Linked DNA regions of Mus musculus: all the other regions are reported to be linked to region 3. The links are microRNA targets in miRTarBase. Many come from high-throughput screens and were not tested one by one. Region 3 holds a microRNA gene; each other region holds the end of a gene's coding sequence.

The links. The annotated mature microRNA mmu-miR-1191a reads CAGUCUUACUAUGUAGCCCUA and lies in region 3 at 1,245-1,265, opposite strand. An mRNA with a match to its seed (bases 2 to 7 or 8) in the 3' UTR can be bound and repressed. Matches are read on the target gene's strand: a 7mer-m8 pairs with bases 2 to 8, a 7mer-A1 pairs with bases 2 to 7 and ends in A, and an 8mer does both.
Region 1: miRTarBase lists Armc1 as a target of mmu-miR-1191a. Seed matches in the 3' UTR shown: 7mer-m8 at 1,391-1,397.
Region 2: miRTarBase lists Iffo2 as a target of mmu-miR-1191a. The part of its 3' UTR that is shown has no 7-base or 8-base seed match.

What each region holds. Positions count from the first base shown.
Region 1 is chr3:19,131,480-19,134,734 of GRCm38, forward strand. Armc1 (armadillo repeat containing 1) reads right to left here. Exons shown (of 7, transcript NM_028840.3): 7 at 1-2,744. The coding sequence ends at 2,553. Among named protein-coding and RNA genes, the nearest start is that of Armc1, 30 kb to the right of the region's middle.
Region 2 is chr4:139,615,679-139,618,933 of GRCm38, reverse strand. Iffo2 (intermediate filament family orphan 2) reads right to left here. Exons shown (of 9, transcript NM_001205173.1): 9 at 1-2,606. The coding sequence ends at 2,501. Among named protein-coding and RNA genes, the nearest start is that of Aldh4a1, 5.6 kb to the left of the region's middle.
Region 3 is chr7:27,203,625-27,206,879 of GRCm38, reverse strand. Mir1191 (microRNA 1191) reads right to left here and starts at 1,344; the gene lies at 1,225-1,344. It overlaps BC024978 (cDNA sequence BC024978), which reads right to left. Exons shown (of 7, transcript NM_001243888.1): 7 at 2,560-3,124. The coding sequence ends at 2,787.

The DNA.
Region 1 (3,255 bases), not on the chromosome of region 3:
ACACAAGCTTCTACAGGAGGCTCTGGAAAACCAAACCCAAAAACATGACAAGAGTGCAGGTCTGGTTTGTCCAGCTCAGGGGTCTACACATAATTACACAGTAACAGGTGAGGTACTTCCCCTGACTCTTGCAACTATAGAACTAAGACTATGTGCCATACATTATGTGTGCAAACTGCCAAAGAGCTTGGCATGATGATACCTGCCATTCAGGATGTAAGCAAGAGAATCTAGAGTTCAAGGTTAAGGTGGGCCACATAAAAGGTTCAGGCCAGCTTGGACTAGATAGTAAGACCTTGTCTCTAAATGTATAAATAGATAATTTCAAACAAGCTTAAAAAGAATCCTGAGTCACTGGATGGATACCCAGCATCTCACACACACACACACACACACGTACGTACGTATCAATCTTTATACTACAATATCCCAAGGCTAGAGAAATAGCTCAGTGGTTAAGAACATGAATTATTCTTGCAGAGCACTGAGCTCAACTCCCAGAACCATATCAGACAGCTCACAACTGCCTGTAACTCCAGCTCCCGTGACCTAATAGTCTCCTGACTCCCCCAGGCATGTACACACAGAGACATGGAGGATGGATGGATGGATGGATGGATGGGCGGGAAGTTGATAAATAAAAATTTAAAAATACAATAACTGCTTGATTTTCATTGTTATCTTTTATTATCTTACAATATATTTCAAAAACTGCCATTATAGTTGCCTTGAGATCTCTGAGAGTCCTTGAACACCTAGACACACACAAACTTCAGTCTGAAATACCAACCGACCTGGACCATCACTACCAAAAGGGCTACAGTTTTTAAATAAATGTGTGACAATGCAAAATAAAATAAAAACCTGTTGAAACAGAAAGTAAACTTTGCTTTAATGGATCTAGAAAGGAGGTGATTTGTTGTTTTGTCTTCAACACGTCTGGTTCTGGCAGCAAGCAGTTACACAGCTTAGAGATGTGCCCTGAAAATGTCTGCTTTCTGCTTGTACATAGCACTTGAATCAGAGACCAGACGTGGGGAAAATGCTCTAAAAGCCTTCAACACCCTCCTTCCAGAAAGCCAAATGTTAATAAACTTAATGGTCTCATGGGCCATAGGATTGTACGGTTATTTCTCCTCAGCAACACTGGATGGCTTCAATGATCTCTAAGAGAGAGACAGCAAAGATGTAAGGAAACCCTCCAGGGTCCAACTTCCCTTCACTTTCTCCAAGTAGCAAAACAGCAGCTCTACCTGGTAAAGATGCATTTCAGTTTCTTCCTGTTAGTTTTAATGATGTTGCCTTTAAATAGATTTAGCTGACTTCTAAAAAGAAATATTAGTTGTCAAATATGTTAGAATCTTAAGAAAGCATCGCATACGTGTACTTCAGTCTTAAAGAAAAACACAAGTGTATGTCTGTATATATCTTACCTTCACTGAAGTCAGTTTTCTGGATAGATATGAAGAATAAGAATAAGTGATCACTGCTGGCTTGCTTCCTTTCTAAGCAATAACGTGGATCCCGTTTTAGTCAAACTGACTGCAGCCCTTTCTTAATAACCACAAAAAGGCAATAAGCCCAGCATCTCTGGGATGGGTATGTGTTGATGTCTGACATCAGACCAACCAAGGTGGCACTGCGGCATTCTAGGCATCCAATTTCCTTTTCAAGTTTGTCAGTTGTTTAAACTATTAATTTTCTCTAGCAGGATACAGTGTCACCACAGAGTAAGGCCAAGAGACCATCTGCTGCTCAAACATCACAGTGGACTTAATTCTTAAAAGCCACTCTAACTGGTGAGCAGGAGTCAACAGAGCCAGGCTTGGCCACATTCAAATCCTTCCAAAAGCACTTTACAGCAAATATCCCTGTGTTTTAACTGGCCTACAGTAATCTTATTAAAATTACAGCAAGTATGACTGTACAGCTTTTTGTAGAGGTTTTTTTTTTTTCTTTTTAGGTACTTCTATGTTCAAATGAACATAATTCCATTTGCAAAATGTAATTGCTAATGTCTTTTCCATAAAACATGGTTGGCAAAATAAAAAAGGCACAGAAGGGACTAAGTAGGTAGGTTTTCAACTTTCAGAGAAGGGTACCAAAGCACATGTCAAATATCGTTCATGAAGAAAAGCTGAAAAATAATATATTCGGTAATTCATGCACAACTTGAGCTACGCAAAACTTTTTAGAAGTCTCCTGAGGCTGGAGGAGAAAATGAGTTTTCCAATCACATGCGCCTGTGAAACAGAATAAAGCTACACATACATTCGGTTTTAACAGTGGACCCATGTTTTTCAGAACAAAATGTGAGGCAATTAAGCAAAGGAAAACAATACCAAAATACCTTCATAAACAAACTTGACCTGTAGCCTCTGTCTTGTGCGGAAAATGTCCAATAAGATGTAAAATGCAGCATACATAGTCATGTAATCTAGAAACTTTCCATGATAATTTATTGCAAATTGCACTTGACAGTTCACCACAACAATGGAAAGCTGGCCCCCTGTTGGTTTGCACAGTCCTTGAGCCCCAAACTGAAGTTGAAGTCACCAGTAAAATGATCTGGATAAAAAGTTTGCTGCTGTGCTCAACCAGCTGGCTCCACCTTCAGGGTGCGATCCAACCCGGGACACTGCCTTGTCCTGCTCCTTTGTGGGACTCTCATCCTCAGGCAGGTAGTCAGGTAGCTCTGTGTTCTCTTCCACTTCCACAGGGGCATCCTGAAAAGGGACCAGCATCTGACACGGAGAAGCCGGAAGAGCCATTACAACCAACCTAACACGACACGTACATCCCCCAAGCCACATCCTCATTCTATGCATCATCTTCATTCCCAAGAGTCGCAAGGGCTCGCAATCTAACGCTTTCTTCTTTCATGCAGTCAGTCTGTCTGGGTTCTAGGACAGGAGTAACCTATCAGTGTAGAAATGGGTTAAACGGGTGCAGGGCCACTTTGAACACATCCGTGGGAAGCCAGGGAGCTCACAGCTGACAGATGCACTCCTCCTTATCACAGAAGCTAGTGCTCACCATATTTACTTGTTCAAAAGGTGTACTTTTATTTTCTTGGATTGGCAAAACTATTTCAAGTTAGAAAGAAAGTACTGAAAGAGCGTAAGGAAATGGTGTCCTTTACCCATACATGTACATCACAGCTCCACTGCGCTCAAGTTCGCCTTACAAGAGCACCCTGAACTTCAGAACAAATTCTCTATACTACTAAGACAGTAATTAACTGTTTATTAATAT
Region 2 (3,255 bases), not on the chromosome of region 3:
CCCAGTGAGAGGCGGCCCCAGTGAGGGGTGGGGTCTTTCTGGGCAAGCTGTGGGCTCACAGTGAGCACAAGCAGGACCCACTGGCAACGAACTACGAAACGAACAAACCAAACACTAAGAGGAGGCCAGGCCCAGAGCCCAGACCAAGCCAGGAAACATGCCTACCACACCCTTGCTCCTCTCCACTCATCCTCCTGCCTCAGAGCTCCACCTCCCAGGGGAAAGCAGACTTTGAAAGTCAGCAGGAGGGAACCCAAAGGAGTCTGCTTTTCTCATGCACACCAGACAAATGACCTATGTATACAGGTGGGAAAGTTAAATAACACCAGAGACCAGCAACTACACAGTAGCTGTGTACACAGCCATCCCCTCAAACGTTTACGCTGTTGCTTCCTGTCTTAACGCTAGAGATACATGTCAGCCCACCACCTCCATGAAGAACGATCAAGGGCTGGCTTCTGCTCTGCCCACCTGACTACCAGACTCTACCGCTTTACCGCTGGATGGAAACGGTCCCCAACCTCAGTCAAGGACCCATGAGGGCAACCCTCCTCCTGCCCTCACAGAAACGGAAATCTTTACAGCAGCTAAGGTCCAGGCCCATCTGGCTCTGATAACCTTTGGTTAAAAAAATAACATAGAATAAAATAAAACCAAAACAATAATATCAATAACACACAATAATAATAACCAGAAGTGTATGAACCCTGTAACCTTTAAAAGAAGGATTGGTGAGAAAGGGGAAGAGAATAGTGAGGACAGGGGCTGTGTCTTTTCCCAAACAATTGTCCCTCCAAGTACCTGCACAGGGACCAATGGGAAACCCCTCCCCACATCATGGAAGACACACGTAAGAAAGGCCACCAAGTTCTGATAAGTTACAAGCCACCAACAAACACATCCTCTCTCCTCTCTATCCATACATAAGCCTACTATGTACACTGGCTCTAAGTGCAAAACAGATAATGGAACCACCTAGAGAGAAACAGAGGGATAAAGAGGAGGCTCGGGTACCACTATGGTTCCAGAGTCCTCTGCCCTTTACCACCCAGGCCTCAGAGGGCCATGGGTTCTGATCCCTGGGGACATTTTGTTCCTTTGAACTCCAGAGGAACCCACTGGGTCAATAAAAACAACATAGGCCATCAAAACCACTAGAGTGGACCCCAAAATAAGGAAAGAAATAAAAACAAAACCTGATTGTTGCTAGGCAAGTCGCCAGCTGCTCTCTGATAGACGGATGCTCTATCTTATGGCCCCTTACCTCAGGCCCCAGGGGAGCCTTGGGGAATCACTGGCTCAGCGTCCAGACAGATGGGTATGGAAAGCATGTATGAATGAGGACGGTCCTCACTTGAGGCTTCTCTCCAGTCATTGCCAGCCTGCCAGCAGCCATGCCACTCCCCCCCCCCCAACAAGGCTTTTTCCCCCCAGCCAGAGGGACAACGGAGGACCAAGACGGTACTGTGGAGGACAGAGTAGGTAGCAGGCCTGGCCTGTTCATACTTTCTCACAGAGAAATTACAACCATGGAACCTGGCAGGTGATTGGAGAGGCGGGAATGAACATCAAGTCATCAGGAAAATAAAAGACCACCACCCACCCCACCCCACCCCACAGAGGTCCCCAAGAAAACCATCAGTCCAGTGGGCCGGCTTGCAGAATGCAGGCAGGCCTTACCAGCAATCTGACTGGGACCACCCCCAAAGCCACCTCTGAACCTCAGAGGCTATGAGGGACTCATGCCAACCTTGGCCTCTCTCCCAGTTCCCAGAAGTCTGAGAGAGGGCCTGCCTTCCCCAATGATATAAGGCAAGCTGCTTTTAGGTTTTTTTGTTTGTTTGTTTTTTGTTTTTGTTTTTTGCATAGTTTAAACACAGTGAGGTTCTTCCTTCCCCCACAGTGCCTTTCCCCGATACATCGCCACTAGATCCAAAAGAAGAAGAAAAAAATTGGTCTTCCCTCCCTCCACTTCCGTCCACCACTCTATCCCTGGGTGAGAAAGTATTGACGACTCCTCCTCGCCCAGCTCTGGAGGTAACACAGTCTACTTCCTTGAGAAAGCAGACCACCGCAAGTCATCTTGGGACAGAGGGAGGGAGCAAAGCTCATGTCCAATCAGAGGAGCAGGTGGGAGGGAGAAAACCAAAAGCTACCACGCCTCCAGGCCCCACCCTCACCTTAGAGTTTTATATTTAAAAAAACACCTGCTAGGAAGAATTCTTTGGAGCTCAAAGTGGCTCAGCTTAAGGGAGAAGGCACAGTTGCACTGCATCGACGCACAAAAGTCTGCGTTTGTGGTGTGTGTGGGGACAATAGAAAAATCGACAGCACCATTCCATGGGTCGGTGGTGGAGGAAGGAAGGAAGCAGCGGTCCCGCTGGGCCTCCGGAGAAGGGAGGACAGAAGTCTGTGTCGAGGAGTGGAGCCCACACGGCTCAGTGGGGAGAGGAGGCTGGACCCCATCACCAAGACCACCAGGAGCGTCGGGCCTCCGTCATCAGCTGACCATGGGCTCCACATCCGCCTCCCGCTCCAGGTCTTCCTGGATTTCGTCTGTACTTCCTGAGTCACTGCTGGCCACGGAGCTGGGGGACGGTGAATTCCTGCATTAGAAACCAAAGCCTTTCAGAGAGCAGCCTGGGGGACCCTAACGGCCCAGGGCCCGGAGCTCTGGCCGGTCACACCTGTTAAAAAACCTACCCGAAGGGTCTGGGGTGAGCAAAACTTTTGCCTAGTATGCACAAGGCTCTGGGTTCCACTCTCAGCAACAACACAGTGGCGGCTACCCTGAGGGGCTCCTGCTGTGAGATCCCTGCAAGGCGCACTTTCTCCCAGTCCCTGTAGGTTCCATAAGCTGCCTAGGGCTCTTGGCATTCCTTGGGACCTCTACCCTAGCCACTGCTTACTGTAGCGTGTGGCTTCTCTTTGGGAGTGGGGGGTGGGGTGGTCGTGGGTATTCATTCTGTAACTTTCCATCATCCCTGGTCTGAGCACAAAGTGGTGCCCTCTGAAAACCCCAGGTAACAAAGCGATGCCCACTGAAAACCCCAGGTAACTGGGAAGAAGGAACCTCAGATAAGAAAACGCCTCCACCCACCGAGCATGGTGGCGCACGCCTTTAATCCCAGCACTTGGGAGGCAGAGGCAGGCAGATTTCTGAGTCTGAGGCCAGCCTGGTCTACAAAGTGAGCTCCAGGACAGTCAGGGCTATACAGAGAAATCCTGCCTCGAAAAACAGAAAAGAAAAGAAAA
Region 3 (3,255 bases):
AAATAGTTTTGAAACACACACAAAAGATTTGTACTTTTGTGTGTGTGTGGATGCTACATGTATTTAGGTGCCTAAGGTCAGAAGAGGGCATTGGACTGCCTGCTCTCAGAGCTGAAGTTACAGCTCTACCTGCCTGATTTGGGATCCAAACTCTGCAAGCAGGGAGTGCTCTTAATTGCTGAGCCATCTCCTCAACTGTGTAGCTTAGGTTGGTCTGGAACTAGAGGTCCTCTTGTGTAGCCTCCAGAGTGCTGGGATGGGTGTGTGCCTTGACACTGTCACCATATAGCTCCTCTAGAATGTGACCTTTGGCTGGGAGCACTGCAGCCCCCCAGGCTTGTTTGCCCCCTTCTGAGCAGGTGTCCCGGGTGCCTGTCACTTTCCATACAGTCCTGAAGAGCTGATACACTAGAAGAGGCACACACTGCACTGCCTATGTAAGAGTCTTACATAGTTCAAGTTGGCCCTGCACTTGTCATGGAGTTGATGATGAGCATGGACTGTTAGCTGGCTTCTGTGTTCCAAATGCTGGGGTTACAGGCCTGTACCACCATCGCAGCTTTGGACAGGATGTAGCATGTTCAAGGTTAACCTGGACTGCATAACGAACATGACAAAATCTGTCTTTAAAAAAAAAAAAAAAAAACCCAAACAAACATCGTATTCCTCTCCTCCTCACTGTGTGGAAGGGAGGCATCCCAGGAGCTCTTTGAAGAGGAAATGATATTGGAGCTAAGATGGAGAAGTTAGGGGGAGTAAGGTTTAAAACATCTTTTTATTACATTTGAATTTTGTGAATGTGAATGGAGGTGAGAGGGCAGCCTGTGGGGATCGGTTCTTGTTCTGTCGCTCGGGGCCCTGGGTCATCTGGCTTGACAAGCACCTTTACCCATTAAGCCATCTTGCCAGCTCAAGGAGAGTGATCATCATTTAGCTCAAGGCTGTCGTTGGCACCTCAGTCTCAGTATCTGAAAGGCCAGCACAGCGGTCAGGTAGACGGGGTAGTCTGAGTGTGCCAAGGAGAAGGAAGCTGGGCTAAGTCCTGCTCTGTGAACTGACAGTGTCTTTAACAATTCCCCCAAAGAAAGACCAGTGGATGTCACATTCAGGTGGGAGGGCCACGACTAGGGTCTGAGTTACTACCAAGAGCCTTCTAGGCTAGGCATGTAGGAACAGGCCTTTAATCCCAGGACACAGGAAGCAAAGGCCAACCTGGCCTACTGCATAGGGAGTTCTAGGCCATCTAGGGCTACATAGTAAGACTGCTGTTTTGCTTTTGAGGCAGGTTCTCACTATGTAGCCCTGGCTGGCTTAGATGTTGCTATGTAGACCAGGCTGGTTCCAAACTCACAGATCAGCTACCTCTATCTCAGTGGTTCTCAACCTTTGTAATGCTGCAACCCTTGAATAATAACCTCATGTTGTGGTGACCCCAAACCATAAAGTTATTTTCATCATTACTTTATAACTATAATCTTGCTACTATTATGAATCATAAAGTAAATATATATTTTTTCTGATGGTCTTAGGCAATCCCTGTGAAAGGGTCTTTTGACACCCAAAGGGGTCATGACTCTGTAGCAAAAATTTTGGTTTCTTTGAAAAACATAGAAATATTATGGGAGTATGTTTTCATTTTAATCCCAGGTGTGGAATATGGGCTGTCCACAGCAGCTGGGATTTGCTTCATGCTGTAGCAGGGGTATGATTTTGCCATCTGCAAATAGTTTCTGAGACTGTGACCTTGGGAATTCTGGGGGCTTTTCAGATGTTATATAAATAAATGTCCAGGGTCCTGGGTGTTGAGGGGTTGTTGGTTGTGGTTTGTTAAGTAGTTGTGAACAAAGAAGAAACAAGAATAAATTAGGTGCCTTTAATCCCAGCACTCGGGAGGCAGAGGCAGGCAGATTTCTGAGTTTGAGACCAACCTGGTCTACAGAGTGAGTTCCAGGGCAGCCAGGGCTACACAGCGAAACCCTGTCTCAAAAAAAAAAAAAAAAAAAAAAACCAAAAAAACAAAACAAAACAAAACAAAAGGAATAAATTTAGGGAGGCTGAAAAGATGGCTCAGCAGTTAAGAGCACTGGCTGCTCTTCCAGAGGACCTGAATTCAATTCCCAGCAACCACATAGTGGCTCATAACCATCTGTAATGGGATCCAATGCCATCTTCTGGTATCTCTGAAGACAGCTACAGTTTACTCACATACATGAAATGAATAAATAAATAAATCTTAAGGGAAAAGAAAAAAGAGGAAGAAGACATTAGATATCCTGACAGCAAAGATCAAATTTCCCCCCAAGGAACTTGACGCCCCAATCAGCAGCAAGTAGTTGAAGGATAATGCTGGCCCCTTTCCCCTCCATCCTTTTCTCTCCTGTCTACCATTAGGAGGTTGAAGGGGTGGAAGAAACACAGTAGTACAAGTACGGCTGCATGGCCCACAGGTTGAGAGCCGCTGCTGCACCTTCGAGTGCTGGGTTTAGAATATGTGCTACCACCTGCAAGGCAGAGACCATGCTTTAAAAAACAAACCCTCCACAAAACCAAGTCTCCCTTAGTCAAAGGAATGCTTGATTCTGAAGGTAACTAGTTTAGACTTTGGACAGTGGTCAAGCTTGTGACTCCATATATGGGGTGATCTAGTGAAAGATTTCCGGGCAGGCGGCCTTCAAGATACTCTCATCAAATGAAACTAACTGGACTGAAAATGTCACATTAGGGGAAGAAGCTGAAGCATTCTAATGTTGATAGAGTTAAGTTCAATGCAGGTGTCCCAGCCCCAGCTAATGGCTTCCCTCCTGTGGTCTGAGCAGCAGGGCCTGGCCACAGAGGCCAGCCTCTACCCCACCAGCAGGTACCACGTACACCTGTCCATCGGCAGCCCTTGCGGGTGAGAAGTCTGTCAGCTGCAGGTTGCTCTCCCGGACTTGGCTGTAGTCCCACAGCTGGTAATGCCAACTCTTGCCCTGCTTGGAGAGAAGGAAGAGGGCACCTGGGGAGCTTTCCTCTGGGAAGGATGGTGGTTGGTGGGGTGCACCAGGCACTGGGTGGAAGAGGCCTGGTAGCTCAGAGTCTTCAATGTAGCCAGGGCTTGGCACATTCTGCACACCTATCAGGACCCCTGGGGGACAGGAAGAGGATGTGAGTTGCCTAGGTTACAGCCAGGTGCTGCCTAGCTACCACAAGGTTAGTAGGGCTCTGTGGGTACACGGCAAGGCCTCTGGCTTCCATGCCTTGGGTATTTGAAGTCCT